Drosophila melanogaster: one gene and its partners. The protein of the gene in region 1 interacts with the protein of each later gene in a pairwise test. Each region holds a gene or a part of one and is shown in the gene's direction. Other genes may lie near its edges. The genes, in order: CG14625, Cfp1, Hr39 and CG6424.

What was found.
Region 2: the proteins of CG14625 (region 1) and Cfp1 interact in a two-hybrid assay, tested with the Drosophila melanogaster proteins (one large-scale study listed by BioGRID).
Region 3: the proteins of CG14625 (region 1) and Hr39 interact in a two-hybrid assay, tested with the Drosophila melanogaster proteins (one large-scale study listed by BioGRID).
Region 4: the proteins of CG14625 (region 1) and CG6424 interact in a two-hybrid assay, tested with the Drosophila melanogaster proteins (one large-scale study listed by BioGRID).

What each region holds. Positions count from the first base shown.
Region 1 is NC_004354.4:1,197,899-1,203,692, forward strand, and holds CG14625 (uncharacterized protein), read left to right. Parts: upstream 1-1,647; 5' UTR 1,648-1,719; coding exon 1,720-1,773; intron 1,774-2,726; coding exon 2,727-2,949; intron 2,950-3,029; coding exon 3,030-5,023; 3' UTR 5,024-5,259; downstream 5,260-5,794.
Region 2 is NC_004354.4:9,269,927-9,274,522, reverse strand, and holds Cfp1 (CXXC finger protein 1), read left to right. Parts: upstream 1-1,562; 5' UTR 1,563-1,633; coding exon 1,634-1,857; intron 1,858-1,919; coding exon 1,920-2,607; intron 2,608-2,668; coding exon 2,669-3,748; 3' UTR 3,749-4,089; downstream 4,090-4,596. Other genes in the region: aladin, read right to left, coding at 1-209, 267-551, 612-1,009. UniProt on the Drosophila melanogaster protein: Component of the SET1 complex that specifically di- and trimethylates 'Lys-4' of histone H3. Essential for Set1 association with chromatin and trimethylation of histone H3 at 'Lys-4' at transcription puffs.
Region 3 is NT_033779.5:21,235,390-21,240,290, forward strand, and holds the start of Hr39 (hormone receptor-like in 39), read left to right. Parts: upstream 1-1,860; 5' UTR 1,861-2,015; exon of another isoform or gene 2,016-2,031; intron 2,032-2,891; 5' UTR 2,892-3,176; intron 3,177-4,901.
Region 4 is NT_033778.4:17,716,308-17,721,198, reverse strand, and holds the start of CG6424 (uncharacterized protein), read left to right. Parts: upstream 1-1,852; 5' UTR 1,853-2,025; intron 2,026-3,449; 5' UTR 3,450-4,469; coding exon of another isoform or gene 4,470-4,517; 5' UTR 4,518-4,891.

The sequences.
Region 1 (5,794 bases):
ATGTAAGCAATCCGATCCACAAACATAACATTTTTCAGCATTGTCGAAGCGTTGCAGCTGCCACAGTGCAGCAAAGGCAATAGGAAAGTTAAAGAAATAAATAAATGCTGATCGGTGTATGAAGATGTATGAGATGAAGAACTTAAATACATTTACGATACATTTCAAGCCGCAGTTAAATCTTTGATTGAATTAGTTAAATTGAATTAAAAACCCAATCCTTGGCAAATCAATTGGTATTGAGACTGTTCATCTGGTGCGGCTGCCACAGCTGTTTCTTTGGCAGCTGGCAGCTGGTAGTGGATTTGGTAGTTTCTGCAGTTTTTGGCCGCATAACGGGGCATGGATAGCCATGGCTATATGTATCTATGTACCTATGGCAATCGCACTCGACTGCTGACAAGGTTGTTGATCTGCACATATGTGGAGGAGCCGAAACGCTTTGCCAGCTTTGTTTTGCTTTGCTTTAGCCGCTGCAAAGTTGTTTCGCTTTTATTATTACGGCTATTATCGTTAGTGTTAAGTGTGGCAATTGTTTCATTTTCAGTTTCAGTTTCGTTTTTCGCTTCTCATGCAGAATATTAAAATATAAATCATACGCCCTGTGGGCCAGCGCCATAGTCCGCAATAAAGAAATCCCCGGCCAGCACGTAAGGGAAATCAATGAAATGCCAATTGGCAAGTTATTCCAAGGCGTACTCCCAGTTCTCTAAGTCCGGATCTCTTTATCGAAATTGAAATCATCGCTGTTGGTTTTCGGCAACGGCAATTGCTGCTGCTCTTTCGGTAAAATCATCATAAATCAGCGAACACTTTTCTCCGTTTGTCTGGGCTCCTTGTTAATTATTATGCACTGAATCAGTGACCATGAAGCCAACCACCGAGTGAAGATCTGCCACGACCAACCACCGACTGCCCGCAATGTAAACACTGTGAGAATACAGCAAATGGGGAAATTTAAGAATACATAAAATAAGACAGATCTAGTGTTAATGGATTTGTTTCAAGTTTAATTTAAAGGGTGCTAAAGGCTCCCTGTCGAGTCATTGGACTTGCAAAAGTCCTGCTGCTTTCCGGACTCCACTCCAGAGTGGGTTAGTGACTACTGCCCGTTGTCCACTATTTGTCGTTTAACCCAATAAATGCCTTCGGTGGCGAGGATTTTACAAGTCAATTACGGGTATTACCCACCTGTGCCGGCAAACATTTCATTGAACTGCCTGTGGTGGAATGGGGATTGTTTGGCTTAGCTTATGGCTTAATTGGCCATCAAAGTGGCAGCTTAAACAGAGGCCGAAACTGAAGCCAAGAAACTAAAAACTATAAACCAGTTGTCCCGTTGTCCTCTCTCTTTCGTGCTGGCCTATCGCCTTCTCTGTTGCACCTTATCGACTTATAATGGGCGAACTTATCACGCATACGCCGTGTTGTGCGTCGATGGCTTATTACGATTCGAATTGTCATCGAAAGTGAAGCGATCTTTCTCCCCTTCTCTATCTCCAACTGTCTCTCTCTCTTCGCTTGCACTTGCACTTTTCTCGCTTTTCTTTGGCGCGCACATTCGCATAAATTTTCCGCTGCAGCGGTTCGCATCATTATAAAAGCCTCGCCTCGACAGCTGGCCGCTAACAATTCCAGCTGAGACTCTGGCGCGCCATGATGTCAGCGCTCACATCTCGATTCCGTAATCTTCAATATCAGGAGCACCACCTTGTCCATATGGGAGCAAACATTCTCAGCCGGCGGCAATGGTGCCTGTGTCTGCTGATCATCGTAAGTAGTGCGCTCACGTCCAAGGATTCGGATAATTCGATTCACGAGGAGTACCTTTTTTTTTGGTGGCCAGTGATCCAAAGTGTAGTGATGTATTTGAAAATTCATAAATGTTGGACTCGAGAGAATCTCCAGAAGTAAAAAAACAGCCCATTTGAAAATGAGATTTTTTTTATTTAATAATTCAGTGAAGAAGAGTGATAAATTTGTAAAAAATATAAATAAATATGTAAAAAAATATATATAAATGTATCTTACGATAAAAAACGAAAATAAGTGAAAAAAATATGTAAAAATACTCAATTAAAACTTTTTAAAAACATTAATATTTGAATCTTCAGTAATGAACTGCTGAAGCTTATCCCGCTAAAATTACATTTCGGAACATAACACCAAATTTTTAAACAAAGACCAAAAAGATTAGCCTTTTTGGGAAAATATGTCCCGAATGACTGAGAATTACGTTTTTGATACATAATCGCCAAATTCTTTTCCCATTTCGATCGAAAAGGATCCATTTGGCGATTCGCAATTGCGTGCTGCGGGTTTTTCATGCCGGTGTGTCATTGCCCTCTCCTCTGGAAAACGGTCCATTGAACTTGGCCAACTGAGCGCCGCCAACTCAATCATACAGAAATTGACTATCAACCGCCTCCTCCTTCTCCTTTTCTTTCTCTTCTCCTCCTTGAAAGCGAAAGCGAATTGGCGGAGTTTAATTAGTTTAATTGCGAAGTAGGCACAAGCCAATGAGTCTGAAACGAAGAGGCCAATTTAAGGCAGTTCGCCTAACTAGCACCCGTTGAAATGGCACACTCATCAGTTGGCCAAGGTTCCTTGTTTGTCCTATCGTTTTACTCATTTTATTTTAATGTACGGTTTTTATTGTAAGCCATGCGAATCTCCGATTATGTAATTTTCAAATAGCTGTGATTCTTTCTAATTTCTCTGAACAGATGTCGACGCTTTGCAGTGCCGTGACTGTGACCTCAGGCACGTCTGGGAACAGTCGCCGTCGATCGGGAGGTTCAGGAGCGGTGTCCTCTTTGGAGGTGACTGGGGAGAAGGCCTTTCCCGATCAACTGGCTATGGCAGCTAGCCGTAGGGGCTCCGACGATCGTGGTTACTCCAGGCGGGGATCGGTTACACAAAGCAGATTAAAGGAGGCGCCCAGCAAAGGTAATAAACCGTCCCATTTTGTTTGGCAAGCCTAAAAGTATGCACTAATCCGCAATCGACATGCATTGTATACTTCCCAGATTACAGCTTTGGCCAGGTGGAATTAAATCTCGTTCGCCCAGAGCACGAATCGCATCCAAAGCAGACCGCAGAATCCGGATCCGGAGCGTATGTCAACCTAGAAGACTCTAAATCGGCAGCCGAGTATGTGGCCAATGCCATCAAGTTGGCCTACAAACAGCCACCGACTCAACTGCGAGGTCAAAGCCAAGTTCAGAACCCTAGCAACAACCACATCCAGGCGCAAAAGGAACAGCAACCTACCACCCAGAGAAGTTACCAGGAACAGAGAAGGGATAGGGAGATCCTGGAGATGCAATTGCAGAAGGAACTGCATCAGCAGGCCCTGCTCCTGTCCTCAGGACCCTCGTCGCCATCCTCGTCTGGATCGTCGTCCTCCTCTTCTCCGCCGTCGCCCGCCCTAGCGCCTGCGCCAGTCTACGAAAAGGAACCCGTGACCCGGAGCTATGAACTCTACGAACACGCAACCGAGGACGAGTCCCATGTCCAGGCCCAAGAGCAAGACATCGAACGCCACTATCGTCCCAAGTACAGCAATAACTACAACAACATCTACGCCCCCTATCAACCGCCGCAAATTTACAGAAATCTCGAGGCCGAGGCCGAGGAAAAAGTCAGGGTCTCTGCCTCCACGGAAATTCCCAAATCGGAGATAATGAAACAGATTGAAAAGTCCGTGATCAAGTACATGAAGGAACTAGAGGCCGAAGGTAAAATCATAAGTACGCCCCAAGAGACGGCCACGCCTCCTCCACCACCACCGCCTCCGCCGATTACCAAGACCTACTACAAGTCGCAGACGCTCTCATCTGGTCTCCATTCCGGTTCCATTCCCTCGTCGCACTCGCATTCACACTCGGAGGAAAAGCGTTACAGCAGCAGTACAGTGAGGCCCAAGTATACGGTCCCACCAACGACAAAACAACAACAGTTGCATCACCACCAGCAGCAGGTGCTCCACCCACAGCACCACAGCCACCAAATAGCCGGAAAACTGAGGGGCTCTTCATTGGCAATAACGAATTCAAAGCCCATTCAGCACTTTCAGTCCGAAACGGAAACGGCATATCAGGCCCCCGATTTGCCCGTCGACGAACTGAGTCCGAATGTGGAGTTTATTTACAAAATCAAGACCCGAGCTCCCCTGCAAACGGCCACAGTGAAGACGGTTTCGAAGCCCTACACTTTGCCTCTGAAAAGTGCCGAGCACTTTGACCACAGTGCGGCCCTCAAGAACATCGAAGAATTCGATCTATCCCACGTAGTTCCCACTCCAGATCGAGTGGAACGGGAGCGGGAAAGGGAAAGGGAAAGGGAGCGTGATTCTCGGGAAGATCAGGAGAGGCTTACAAACTCTGGCAAGCAGCACAAGTTGTATTTCAATTCGGAAATCTATCATGACATCAATGCCTTGCCCTACAAAAGTAAAGAGGCAGCTCTGCAGGAATATCGCCACAAGCTCAAGGCTTCCGGGTCATCCGGGGAACTGCATCCGGACTACAAAGGCTACTCCTCATCCGGTTACTTTGCCGAGCCGGAAGCAGAGACTGAGAATGAATCAAAACTAATCCTTAACGAAGAAGGCTATCCCTATCATTATGTGCTGAAGAAGGAAACCCTACTAGATGATCATGAGCCCTGGTTGTCCCACGCGCACGGCCACGCCCACCAGCACACCCATGGCCACGCCCACTCGCACAGCAACAGCAACAAGCACCCGAGTCTTGAATACGACAGCTACAGTCCGAAGTTCAACAACAATCCCGAGGGCTACGGCTATCAGCACACGTACAAGGTCAGAGGTCAACCAGCAGGCGGTGCCGGGTCGGGGGGCGTGGCTGGCATAGGCAGTAACACGGGGACCGGAGCTGGAAAGCGCGGCAAGCGGGGGGGAGGCGGTCATCCCAGACAAGAGGCGATTAAGAAGCAACTGCGCTCATCGGAGGTCAAGGACTTGGAAGCCAGTTTGGCTCTGAGGCCACCGCCCAAATAGTAAACCCCATCCCTCGATTAATCAATCGAATAAGCCGCAAAACTCCACCACCACCCTCATAGCTTATTTTATGCCAGAATTTCGAGCATGCTTCATTGTATATGCTATTGTCTTTTTTTTGTAGAATCTAAGTGTAAGTACGATTATTTATTGTATGGCCACCAACTGCTGAAGTGGTAGCCAACTAAAACAGACGATAACAAATTACGCCAATAAACAAATTAATGAAATAACTTAAAATAAAAACTATCGCTTATCCATTGACATTTTTAAATAGCTCAAGACTTCATTCCATTATCATGATAGCCCCATGAACTAGATTTTCTATATCTATCCAAAAATTCGAACTGCTTGGAAAAGTGCGAATGCCGCCTCTGTTGATCAGTTTTTTTTTTTTAGTTTCGATTTTTATTCGTCTCATTTCTTCGCTCTATGTGTGGGTGTGAGTGTTTGAGTGTGTGTGTGTGTGATGTAATTAATAATTTTAGCGCACAATTATAAGGCAGCCGCCCACATCCACCCAATGAACGAACTGATTGAAACATCCAGAGATTCAGCCTCGGATTGGGTAAGTCACAGTAAAAGTGCCTCCTCTTTTGCAATTTAACTCTTTCTCTTGGTGGAAGTACATCCACCGCATTTGCATTCTGGTTTTATATAGGAACACAAGTTGTACGGGTAAGAATCTGTTGTAAATGGCAGAAAAGAGTGTCAAATGTGTTGTTACGTGAGATTTGGACGATTAATCGCCAGCCCAGCGGCCACATTGTC
Region 2 (4,596 bases), 8.1 Mb from region 1:
GGAACACCCGATCCACGGTGGCTGCGAACAGCCAGTCATTATCCGGCGACCACTTCAGCAGCGAGCCCGGCGGACCCAAACGCTTGAGTGGCTGCATCATTCCGGTGTCCGGCTGCCAGATAATAATGGAACGATCTCCTATTGAGGCGGTGGCCAACTGGGTGCCATCCTTGTTCCACTGCATCGAGGTTATTGGCAGATTGTTTGGGCTAAAAGGGAAAATAAGTTATGTATTTACCAACTAACGATAAATTTTCTATACTGACTATTTAAAAATCTCGCTGGGTGCATTTGTGCGTCCCAAATGCAAAGTGCTGTCCACTTCCCAGAAACACAGACCCTGCCGACAACCTATCACGATCTCGGAAGCGCAGAGTGGACGCCACGCCATGCAGGTGATCTGCGTTTGGGATGGACTCTTTAAAACAGTGGCAGTGGTCGCACTGGAACTCTTTGTGTAGATGCGCACCACATCGTCTACACCGGCTACGGCTAAGCAAAAGAAGTGCTGATTCCAGGCAAGATAGCGCACATCGCTGTTGAGCCAATCCCTGAATGAATGGGACAGTAAGGTTTAGGTATTATTGGTCAGTTGGCTGCGCCCCACCCACCTGGTCTCCACGAACTGAGCAATACGCTCTGCACTAAGCTGCTGGGTGTGCGGGAGGATCCTCAGGCCGGTGGCCAGGCCCAGAAATTGTGCGATTAAATCACCCGCCTGGGCAATAAGCGGCGCCTGCTCCCTGGTCTCTGGGCTGCGTGCCTCCTCCAGCGTCTTCCAGAATCCGCCATTAAAGAAGCTGCGAGCTATGCGCTTTAGGACACCCTCATTCACAGATACGAAGCTCTGTCCGCCGTAGTACCGCTGACCAGCCGGATTGGCCAGAAGTTCGCTGTTCAGGTTTATCTGCGGATAGCGTTCCAGCTCTGGGATGTGATTGTGCCGCAGCGCCAGATCCGGCAGCGTGGAGAACGGCGGACACTGTTTTAGGTTGCTCAGGGCCGCCATAATTGCAGACTATTCACATTCAATTCAGTTCAGTTGAGAAAAAATGGTAACGAAATACAAAGAAAAAACCGCGCGGTTATTAGAGGTGAGAAAAAGCCGACAATGTCAGTGGTAATTCGATGCTTAATTTTTCTATCGATGTTTAATTTTACGAAACTTCGAAAATACTGGGCCGCGGCAAAATCTTAAAGATTATCGAAAAATAAAAATTAGGTATATATAAAGTAACAATCTTTTGTAGGTTTTATATTCACGTTGTTTCTCTTTCAAGAACTCTATTTAATCTCATAGATCTCGAACACACTATCGTTTGTTATTAAGACTATGGAATTAGTTCTCTCGATATAAGTGTTACGAAGCATTTTATATTTATACACAGCTTACAATAAATACCTAAAATTGTTTTTATTGTATAGTCATACATCAATTAAAATCTACAACGTAGTTTTATGCTAAATATTATATATTTTATTAGGCCAGAACCTATCGATTGTCTGCAATACATTATTAGTAGGCTATCGATATCCTTTCATTCACCATCTCCATCGCAAAAAAAAATTCCATGAAACTTAATTGACGGATTTGGATTTGGACTGGATTTGTTGTCGGAAAGATTGCTGCGAGATGACGGACAAGCGCAAATATAAGAAGACCGTAAGTTTCACCCGCTGCACGGCAATCATATTTTTAACTACAAAGGAGGTTTCCAAACAGAAAGAGGAAATCAGGCGGGAGATCGCACGGGAATTTGATTTGCCTGAGCGCAAGTCCAAGATAGCCACCATTCTAAAGCAGGAAGACCAAGCGTACTGCATATGCCGCTCCTCCGACTGCTCCAGGTTCATGATGTGAGTTGAATGGCCTTAAAGGGCTAGATCCCGGCTAACTACTTGTACCCTTCGCTTTCCAGAGGCTGCGATGGTTGCGAGGAGTGGTACCACGGCGACTGTATAGGGATCACCGAGAAGGAGGCTAAACACATCAAACAGTACTACTGCCGGCGCTGCAAAAAGGAGAATCCCGAACTACAAACCATATTCCGCCTGGTGGCCACCGAACGGGCAGCCGCATCGAACGCCGCCTCTACAAGTCTCAATGCCCCGGGCGTAGGTCCATCGGGAGCTGCGCCTGCTGCTGCACCGGTGGCGTCCGCAACAACCAGCCAGCAAGCGCCGCCACCGACCACTGCGGCAGCGAAGCGCAAAAACAGCAGCGCCCGAGAACCAAAGATGGGCAAACGTTGTGGTACCTGTGAGGGATGCCGGCGTCCCAATTGCAACCAGTGCGACGCGTGCCGCGTTCGCGTGGGCCACAAGCCGCGCTGCATATTCCGCACCTGCGTTGTCCAGGCGGCGACGGTCTTAAAGGAGTCGCAGGCAACTCAAGCCGGCCCAAGTAGGAAGCGGGAAAAGGCGGCACCCAAGAGTCGCAATGTCCAAGTGGGCCCGCGGGCGGCCAGTCCGGAGATATTCCTCAATCCGGAGCTACAAGGCATCCGGCAGTGCTACGGACCCAATTGCTGCTCCCATGCGAGACCGCAGAGCAAGTACTGCAGCGATAAGTGTGGCTTCAATCTGGCCACAAAACGCATCTTCCAGGTTAGTTTCATTTTTTGGCCAGACTATGACAATTAAACACCAAAGTCCTTTACACTCTCAGGTTCTGCCGCAACGACTGCAAGAGTGGAATCTAACGCCCAGCCGCGCCGCCGAGGAAACACGCAAGCATCTTGATAACATTCGTCATAAGCAGTCCCTGGTGCGTTTCGCACTTGCCGAGCTAGAGAAGCGCTCCGAAGAGCTCAACATGGTGGTGGAGCGAGCCAAACGAAGCTCCATTGATACATTGGGGTCACAAGACACCGCCGACATGGAGGACGAACAGAGCATGTACTGCATCACCTGTGGCCACGAGATTCACTCGCGCACTGCCATCAAGCATATGGAGAAGTGCTTCAACAAATACGAATCGCAGGCCAGCTTCGGGAGCATATTCAAAACGCGAATGGAGGGAAACAATATGTTTTGTGATTTCTACAATCCGGCAAGTAAGACTTACTGTAAGCGATTGAGAGTATTGTGTCCGGAGCACAGCAAGGATCCGAAGGTGAACGATACGGATGTGTGTGGTTCGCCCTTAGTGAACAACGTCTTCAATCCCACGGGCGAGTTTTGTCGTGCGCCAAAGAAGAATTGCTTCAAGCACTACGCCTGGGAGAAGATCCGGCGTGCTGAGATAGATCTGGAGCGTGTGCGTCAATGGCTCAAGATGGACGACCTGATGGAGCAGGAGCGCGTGATGCGGCAGCAGCTCACCTCGCGAGCGAACCTGCTCGGCCTGATGCTGCACTCCACCTACAACCACGAGGTGATGGACGAGCTGGTGCGCAAACAGCAGGAGCATCTGGTAGAGTTCGAGAAGCAGAGGCGACGCCTGGCTCACCAGCAACAAATACAAACACAGCAGAAACAGTACCAGGAAAAGCAGAAGCTAATGTTGCAGCAACAACAGCAACAGCAACAACAGCAGCAGCAACAACAACAGCAGCAACAACAGCAGCAGCTGCAACAACCACAGCAGCAGCAACAACAGCAGCAGCAACAACAGCAGGAGCAACAGCAACTGCAATTGAAGCCACATCATCTGCAGCAACTTCAACTTCAACTGTTGCAGCAGCAGCAAAAGAAGGCCCAAATACCACAGAAAACTCAAATTATATACCTGCAGAAAAAAACATAGATTTGTAGTCCCCTAATCATAGCAAGAACTAACAATAAACTGACGTCCAAGAAATATTTTTCTACGACAGTAATCTTTGGACTTACCCGACGCAAAGTTTCTAGTGTCGCCTTTCTCCTGGCAACCGCATAACACGCTCGCCAGCTGTTGGGTCCGCTTCCCGGCCAGTAGTAGGTTGCTACGCGCCGGGATCGGCGGTACGCCCATGTTTGTTATTGAAAACTAAGCATCAAATATGCATTTATTGATAGCAACATGCTATTAATACATTAGGCCAGCTCAACCGTGGATATCATTCACATGGATTACATTAGCACACACCTTAATATTAGTTTATTAGCTGGATTCAAGTTATTTATAATTTCTATATACGATTTGTTTTCTGTTCATTGTTAGTTTGTATTTAGAAATAATCTAGAAAATAAGTTAGCATATTAAATACATTTTCTTAAGCTGTAGGCTTTTTTTAATAATGCAGGTTAATATTACTGCATTAAACAAAGTCATGAAAAAAAGAATACTCTACGCTCAACATATTTTGAAGATCATATAGACATAGGCCACCGAGTCCGGGTTTTGATATCCGAAACAATGGTTCCGGGTAAATGAAGAGCGGGGGGCAACCATTGGAAACGGCAGGACCTTGAAAACGATGGAGGCTATGGATTAGAGTGGGCATGCTGTAGTTGGGAGCCAAAAGGAATGTCAGGACGCACAAGTGCAGTGGAAATTTCAAGCGAGTCTGAACGAATCCGGCTACCCGGGCAATCAAGTAGTCGTGGCGATTTGTGACTGTTCCCCCAGACGAACTGTCAAAAATGCCAGTCGTTGTCCGGAACTTTTCTACA
Region 3 (4,901 bases), on another chromosome or scaffold:
GTGGCTTGGCTTGTCTTGCACAAAAATGTATTTTCGTCGATATTTTCTGCCCGCGGTCTCACTTAATTAACCAATTAGCTAACCACATCCAAAGACATTTAAATGGAGAATACCCATATTATGCACGGCAAACATATGCCAATGTGGATCGTAGTCGATCCGAGTCAAGAATGTTTTCTTCATCTAAAAATGCGTGAAAATACAATATAACATATGGATTGAAGACTTAGCATTAGCATATATGCGCAATTTATCAATTTAAATATTACGCAATAAATAATGTAAATGCAGTGGCCGACCAAAGCTCAATATCTCTGACACTAATAAGTTGTATCTACCGAAAACTAAAGCTAAGCTTAAATGAGAGCTTTGGGGTCGTCTATTAATGTCTTTATAGGCGGCTATACACGACCAATTCCATTGTATGTCACTTGAACTTGCTTCAATATCTGATTGCCTCTGATTTCGCAACCACTCCGTAGTATACATATGTATGTACATTTATCTAGAATTCAGTAATAAAGGAGTGTTTCACAGTTTAGACTACAGACAAGTCAGTGCTATTGGGATGGACAACACCATTTAGATCAGAGCTTGTCCACCAGATACCCATCACACATACCCATTCATAGCAGTGTCAGCTTGATGGACATGGTTAGTGAAACACGAGTACTAATATGTTCTAAGGAACTCATTGCAAATCCAGTAATATTTATTAGGATGGAATTTATAAAATAACATTACAAACTAATTTAAGTTGTTTCGTTCAAAATATACACACATGTCTGACGATATATAAGAAATCGTTTATTATACCTGTTACAATTCATCCGATAAAATGTCTAACAGATATAAAATATATTCTTATTAAGCCGAGTCGATGCTCAACCTTTCTAGCTTTTATAGTTCCTGATATCTCGACGTTCATATGGACAGACGGACATGACCAGTTCGACTCCGCTATTTATCCTGATCAAGAATATATACTTAATATGGCCGGAAACGCTTCCTTCTGCCTATTACATACTTTTCAACGAATCTAGTAAACCCTATTACTCTACGAGTAACGGGTATAAAAACAATTAGCTTATGTATTAATAAGCGTGTTTCGTTTAGGATAAAACGATACGATATTACCAAACGTGGTGATTTAAATTTCCCGTGTGGAAAATCTAATCTGAGACAAAATATTCCAATTCTCTTATTTATGTGTGTTTATATTGTTTAATTTGTATTATGAGTAACAATATTTACATAATTAATACAACTGTTATTTAATTATAGAACAAATTGAAAACACTTCTTGAAGAATGTGGGTAATTAGTTATTTCCTAGAGGTCATCTAAAACTGTTATTATAAATTATCGACTACTTTGAAACAATTTGAACTAAGTATTATCATAGACTTAAACCACTAACAAAAGTTGATCGCTTTTATCAGTCTGGAATTAAATTATTTTACAAGTGGGCTCCATAATAGCAATCTACTATCGATAAAGTGCGAACGAATTCGAACTATTCTTTCCCGGTTAACGAATACAAAAAACTCGAATAGCGTCGGCGTATTTTCTCTGGATGAAAATTTTTTGTGAAACTTCCTATTTGATCTGACTTCGGACTATCAGGAAAAAGTAAAAAGGTTTATTGGTAAATGAGCGACAATTTAAAAAATAATGAAAATATAAAAGACCATTACGTCGTAAGACCACCGTTCCAAATTCACTAGTAACCCACCGTCGCTGCCTTGACGTATTTTGTCCCGCTATCAGATCTGTGTTCGTAAAGTGGCAGTGTGCAGCAACAGCTCGCAGAAAGGTGGCAACGCTCGCTAACAGACCGAGAGCTCCACTAACAAAACAAACATTTTGCTACTTCGTCGCAGGCGGGACTGTGTTGCGTCGTGTGATCGCTAGAGCGGTTGTGGAATCGGATTCGAGCGCAAAACACCGTTCATGCTGTGAGCGAAAAAGAGTGGTAGCGCCTACAGTGGCATATGTAGTTAAATCCGTGAATAAGTGAATAAGAATATATGTATGTACTTAATTCGAAAACCTTTTCGCCGTCAGCACAACGGGTGAACGAGAGAGCGGAAGTGGAGTTTTTTGTGGCGGGTCGTCTCGCTCGCACCGCAAAGGTCGTCCGTGGCTGCGTGTATGGGTGTGTGGAAGAGGCGTCGAGGTGAATGTGGATTTCTAACCACACCAGCATTGCAAAGACATTGATTGATATTTAAAGCTGCAGCAGCGAACCAAAGCAAATCCTAATTTCGGCAAAGTTTAAGAATAACGAGTGACTGGGGCGCGCGCAATAAGATAAAATTGAAGGTTATTCTGTGTGCGTGTGAGTGACCCGTTTACCAGTGTGTGTGTGCGAGCGTTCCATTGTAAACAAAAAAGCAAGTGTTGTGAGCGGAGAGAAGAAAGGGAAAGAGAGAAAGAGCGAACAGACTGGCGAGAGAAAAAAGAGATTGCGCACGAAGAAAGCAGCGCACAAAGCGAACGCTGAAAATGTCAATAAACTCTGCGAAAGGTGAGGAAAACGCAACAAGAGCGCCGCAGTCGTGTAAAATAAAACCCAAGACTCAAAGAAAGCAGTAGAAAGAGGCAAGTGCAAGAGCAGAACTTGTGCGTGTGAGTGCTGGTGTAGTGTGTGTGGGAGAGAAGAGTTCGAGTGTTTGTTCTGATTGGACAGAGTGTGCAGAAAAGTTTTTCTGGTTTCGATTCGCTTGCAACAGTTTCCGCGTTTTCAGCTCCAACAAGTTTCGTCGATTTTTCGCGTCTGCATTTTGTTTATTTTATTGTGAATTCGTTGACTTGCTTGCTCGCTCGTTAACCCATACAAGTGCGCCCGCCGCGACGCTGGATGAGTAATTTACCGTTATTAATTCACAGGTGAAAAATCCGATATTTGTCGTGCAATAATTTCCTCGATTGGCATCAAGTGGCTTCCAGTCGGGTACATATTGCACAAGAAATGTTATACGCATAATGTGCACGCAAATTAAACGAATTCTCTATGAAAATGTGACTAGAATGTGAGTCGAACAAAACGAGTAAAACGTGAAATCCCAACTGGCTTTTGGGTAACAAATCTTATCAACACAGCAACGGAAATACATTAAAATCTTGATAGACTGAGAAAGGGACAATTGGAATACTTTTAGTTATTTTTAAATGGTAAGATAATCTCCTTTCCTTAAAAACAAAATGTTCCCATAATTTTTTAGGTATTTTAAAATGGTAAGATGATCTCATTTCCTTAAAAACAAAATGTTCCCATAATTGATGTCCATGATGTCCATCCCATAACTTGATGTGATTTCAAAAGGAACATCGTGAAAACTGGGCGAATCGTATAAACCATATGCTTTCATTTCATTTGTATTTAAGGACAACAATATAGGGGCTGTAAAAATTACCATTTTTTAAGTGATTTAATATTCCTTTGTCCTTTAAATTTAAAGATCCAAGAGGCCCAATTCAAGCGCTATATTTTCTTATCCCCTTCCACAGAGTCAAAGTAGGCTTTTCGAATCCCTGAAATCAAAACAAAATTATTAACACATCGGGAAGTCAGTGTCGTCTGGCGGACTGTCTGGCCGGGCGACTCCCAATTCATAAGCAGTGAAATGTAACGGCGCCGTTGAGTACTTGAACTACTTTCATGTGGCAGAGGCTTTATGACCCGAACTTGGCTGGCTCATTACATTGACATTCAACTCTACCGAGCTCTGAAAGCGCAAAAAGGACGCCATAAAGGCTTTAATTAAACATGTGTTATGTTCGGTTCTAGAAAACTTAAAGCTTTCCGAATTGACTCTGTATAGATTCGCTTGTCTTTATTGTTCGATCATCGTTACACGTTATATTTTTCTCGGTGCAGCCGCCGGAAATTGTTTCGACAACGAAACAGAGACGGTCTCGATCAGGGAGAATAAGAGGGTGGGAAGGCACTGCATGTCTGAATAGTACGGCCAAGGCACGTTTTGAACTCTACCTCTACCACACATTTCTTGGGCCAAGTCTTTAGCTCTTTCTGCTTTCGCGTGGTGCTTGACCCAGAAAAATCGAAGAATCGCCAATTCTGCGGCTGACAACGCTGCTGATGAGGCTGCGGCTGGGCCAAGTCTTGTGCTTTCGAGGAGCCGCAGAAGGGGCTGTCTCATAAACCATTTTAAATGTCGGGCTCATTATTATTTTGACTGCGTCGCTTGCGGTTTTTGTGTCTATCAGCCGTTCTTACCGTGCCTTCTTACCGTTCAACTCTTCTCATTTCGTAAGCTGGGATTCAGTCTGTCCGAAGGTTGACCGCGAGTTTGGAAGTTGATTGGCTCCGGATTATACATTGCGGACGCTGGTTTATGTTCTTGAACTCCTTTTAAATGTGCGCGGCCTCAAAGGTTAATTTACAGCTTTCGGGGTCATAACTCTGGCTAAAGGCGGTCGATTCTGCCGTCGAGACGCGGTTACAAGAACTGGCAACTGATGTAGGGATTTGCCCATGCTTACAAACGCAATGAGTGGAAGAAGGCAATAAATTATCGGGCTTGAGTGGTAAGCCTGGTCTCCAATTCTGCAAAAAAAAATTTTGCTTCTGGTAACTCTTTTTGTGCATGCAGATATTTATATTAACCCGACCCATACGCCTTAATATCTGTAACTTGTAAAGTCTTTGAGATTTGCCCATTCGGTGATGTATTTCTCGTTCGTCAGTTGGCTGCCAGCTGTTAACCGGTTTTCGAATATGCCTTCGGGTGTTCCAACCGCCTTGATACCCACTTCGGCCATCCGTGCCTCTCCCTCGGCAGTGCACCACCCACTCTTGCAATACATAAGTTGATACATGCTGTTTCTCTCCCTGGCTTTGACTCTGGCTGCTAATTAGCAGTTAACAATTGCAGC
Region 4 (4,891 bases), on another chromosome or scaffold:
AACAAAAGTGGTGAAATGCAAACTCCACGACCTTGTGGATGATTTATTTCATAAACGTACATATGTGCATACATATGTCGATTATTATCCTCGCATTTAGCACATCCGTTGAATTTCACCAAAGGACTCTTTATCATTCAAAAAATTAACCCTCTGGAATTTCCACTTATTAAAATAATCACTTTTATTTTCCACATAAATTTAACGCAAATTAAAAAGGGAAGCAAAGCATTTGGAGTCTCATGATTTAGTTAATACGTTTATTTAATAACTAATACTGTATAGTTTTTCTTAAGATTGCACTTTCAATCGGCCAAGGAATTTGCTATTTCATCACACCATTTCCATTTCAAAAATTGTGTAATGTAGTTGGCGAGAAAAGTGAAAAGGGGGGTTGGAAAAATGCAGGGGCGGTGGATAATAGAGAAATCAACCATATTTTGGCTCGAAAATACTAAATGCACGTATTTCGATTTCGCTAAAAATGTTCAGCCATTGGCAAATATCCAAAATGTATACAGATTTTAAAGAGGGATTATTATGTGCATACAGAGGTGCATATGTATATATGTACATACGTATATATATATTAGCTCAAGCACTTGGCCTGGTCAAGGAATGGATAAGTGAAAGTTTCTGGGGGAAGACTACGACTCGGGAATCACAAAATGCGCAATAAGAGCTGTCTTACAAGTCCATAAAAGTTCCAAATCCCTTTTATGTTCGTGCCCAAGCATCATTTCCGGATTTCACTATCCGCTGCTCGCCTGCAACATTGGCAAATGGCACGTATACGGATACTTACACTGAGAAAAATTACACTAACTTCAAAAAGTAAATGTTTATAATATGAATACACATAGAAGCGTAGCATTAACGTGTAGGTGGGAGATGTAGGGTAGTGTTTTGTTCTTGCTTTTGTTTTTTTTTAATATATAACAAACGCAAAACAACCACCAAAAAATCACCATCGTTTCTGAGAATTGATTTGGTCCTGGAAGTTATTTGAAATGATATACTGTAGATGATTTTATTTCTAGGCCTGAACAGGCTTCGATAAGATGTTAAGATACGAAAGTAAATTAGAGAGAGAGTTTGTGAGTGCGACACGGAAAGAGATCGTTAAAAAATACTCTAAAAGATCACCAAGGATCAAAGGAACATTTTAACTCCATTTAAAAACTCTCACCGGATAACAACGGTTGAATGTGGTATATGGTAAAAAATAAAAAACACTTTATGCACTTTATGAAAGAATGCACTTTTTTTTAAGTTTCGGAAACATTCCTATAGGACCATTATCTATACTTTTATCTCACTGCATGGCGCTATAAAAGAGCAGGAGCTCCAAAGGATGTTAGCGAACGGCTGGCAGAGGCAGTGCTCTAAGTGTGCGTTCAAGGACGTGCATGCATTATGGTCGAGCATTCCGCAGCGAATCGAGGCATTAAGCCGTGAAATGCGACCAGGGGCCAAAGGCAAAGGCCCTATCGCCTGAAAAGCCGAGGGAAGTGTTAACGCTGCGTATGTGCGATATTTAATTATCGCGCGGGGGCGTGACCAAAGGGGCGTAGGTGTGCCGTTGCAGCCACGTCCTTGCCTACTTTTCGGAGAGGCGTGAGGGATAGAGAGCGCGAGCGTTGGGGAGAGCAGCTCCACGAACGAAGGGTAGCCGAGAGCAGACGAAGTCACACGAAGCCTGTCGCTTTCATTCAGTAGAAAACGAACTCTCATCCCTCCCACTGCCCCTATCCAACCACCCATATGTCCATTTCCACCGGATGATTTGGCGCTCTCTCCCCTCTTTTGGACTACGCTGCTTTAAGCACGTGCGCCCGTTAGTTTTCCGCTCATTCGATGTTGGTTTCTCGTCCGGTGTGGTTCACAATTTTTCTTTCTGTCGCACTGTTCGCACTTCCTCTATCCGTGTATGTGTTCATGTGCGTGTGAGTGAGTGTGGGAAAGTCAGCAGCAACAACAAATACCCAGGAGAGCGAGAGAGCAGAAAGATCCGCCGAAAATTAGGTAAATAGCGGGCACAAATGTTGCAACTGGTTAAAGGGGTAAGGCGCTTTAAAGCTGCACTCGAAGAAAGAAGTATAGATACGGTCGTTGATTTTACTTCAAATTACATTCATAAATAATGTAAATTAGATAAAATTAAAATTAATTATTGAGATACTGCGAATAAGCCTAATGTATGTATATTAAATAGATTTTATTAAATGTCTGAGTTAACAACTTTTTACTTAATCGAACGTTTTTAATTTTCATGTCATCCCCTTGTTGTATTGATATATGTATTTATCTTCGCTTTATTCGTTCCTTGTCAGTGTATAACTTTACAACATCCAATTTGGGATTATTGCACCTGGGTCGATTGCATCTAGGACTTGTGAGAGAGGAATTACGGAGTCTGCCAATTTTGTAATGTTTTTGGTAATGCAGGGATCCTTTACGACTTTTTTGATTTTTTTGCGAGCGCACACACAACAGAGCGTGTTTTCATTTCAATGTTTACATTTTTTCGGTTTCTGTTTTGATTTTATTTATTTTCCTTTCCCGAAATAAAGCAGAACATATAATTTTTTTTTTGTTTTCGAATTTTGTCTGCGACGTCAAAGACATTTTAATGTCCAAATATATAGTCGTATATATTATATGTATATCGCTTTTAAAGCAAATGGAGAAAATTTCGCATGTTTATTTTGTTATATTTTAAGGCACGCAACATATCCATCTGGGGTTAAGTGCCAGACATCATCAATCAATTAGTCATTTGATGGCGATATTAACAGGCTAGGCATTATACATACATATGTATATTTATGTTCATGATGGCATCGATATACATAGGATAATCCATGGAACAGGTTGATTAAGTGCGTATTTTCCTCAACGCTGCAGGTTTCGGTTGATTTATTGCGATACCAAAGGAATAGAGTAACTATTTAGTTCTCACCTTAGTATTGCTTTTTCAAAAATTGTTGTAAAATAATAATATATACCCTTCCTTGTTTTACTGCATTACCAGAGAATTTCCAGAAAACACAATCTGTTGCCTTTCCGTTGTTTTCGTTTCATTTGCATAATCAAATTTTGTTTATGATTCGCAGCCGCATCAATTTAAATGCAAATCTGCAACTGGCCAATTGCAGAAACTATTTTACTTCATACCAACCCCCGCCCCCTTGGTCATGCCTCCTCGCGTTGGGAATTTCTCGAAAGTTCTCGAGGGCTCATTGGGGGAATAAGAACTTGACACCCGTAAATTATTGAGCACTACCCCTTTCTCCTCTTTTCCAAACGTAAATTGCATCCAATTGGTTTTGATTGCTCAATCTGATGCCGCACTTGTTGGTGCTATTTTTGCATGCTTAGATTGCACAATCGGGGTTTGAAGAATCAAAGGTTTTCACGCGAGTCCTAATTGACTTTTCTATTTTCAGCTATGGATAAACAGAATGCAAAAATGTATGCAATTGCCGTCATAAGTTCGCTCATTGAGATTCGCAATTGAAATTCACTTTACCGAAATGAAAATGAACCAAATGAGCATTTAGTCAAGTGAGAGCGAGCGAGAGAGATGCGCCGCCAAGTTAACCGTTTCATGTGCAACGTCATCGTCATCTGAAGAGTACCGCCGTAGGAAAAGTAAAGAGAGCGCGCGAGCGCATTACGCCCTTGTTTACACGCCCATTTCACAACTCCCCCGAAAGGAAACATCATCCAAGGACCTCCTAAGGACGCATATAAGACCGCTATTTGGATAATTAATGCAAAGGAATCCGAATTAAAAACTTCAGCGATAAAAGAGTCTGCGCAAAGAGAGAGCGCACAGAGCGAAAGAAGGGGAGAAAAGAAAAAGATAAAGAGAGCGAGAGCGAGCGCCGCTTCGGTGGGCTCCAAAAATCACATCGTGCAGGTCCCATTTGGAAAAATTGCGTCTCGCGACACAACGTGCGTCCAAGTCAGCGGAAAGTTTTTCGATTCGCGGCCCGGTTATTGAATTTGTATATGCGTTTGTGCGTTGAAAAACTCCAGTTTCTGTAGTTATTTGTCATTGTCGTTGTCAATCGACAACCATAAGCTAACCCATTAACCAATTTTATCTAGTGCGACCAGTGTTAAATATCGATTTTTTCGGCTAATGCGCGTCGATGACCTCGCACACAACAACAACAGCAACAATTGAGAGCTAAAGCTGCAAGTACACGCAGAGAAACAACAAAAACGAAATAAAAGCACTCAAAAGCTGTGTCTAAGTTTTTAAAGTAAGCCAAACAACACAAACGTTTTACATAATTGCCCCAGTGCCAAAAGCGGCAGCCACAACAAAAACAACGAAGAAGAAAACAACGGCGTTGCAAGGGGGAAAACTCTCGATTGAAAGAAGAAGCAGAGGAGGCAGAACAAGAAGGCGGAGAAGACTACCCGAAAAGAGCGGCAGCCGAAAACCGCAAAGACACATGCTCAGATACCGTCTCGTGTCCACTCACTTCCTCAAGCAGCCGTAGTGTGCGAGCGAGCGAGACAGCCACACCCGTAGAGGGGGGACCGAGAACGAGCACGAGAGCGAGAGAGTGTGGGTGTAACTGCGAATGCACTTGCAACTGCAATTGAGAGAGAGAGAGTGACAGCGAGAGCGAGCGATCGCAGGATACGATTGTGCTATAAAAGTGCGACAGGTGCGCTCTACCTGCCCATTCACCGTTAGTCGTCGTCGGTAACTCATTTAGTTGTCGAGAGTTCCTCTTTACATCCCAGAAAGAGGCAGGATCAAGGAGCGTACTAAAGAAAAGGGGAGGAAACTCAAACTCGCCAGCGAGAAAGAGAGAGAGAGAGAGGGAATTCACATCCGATCCGGCACTAAAATCCATTCACAACGTAT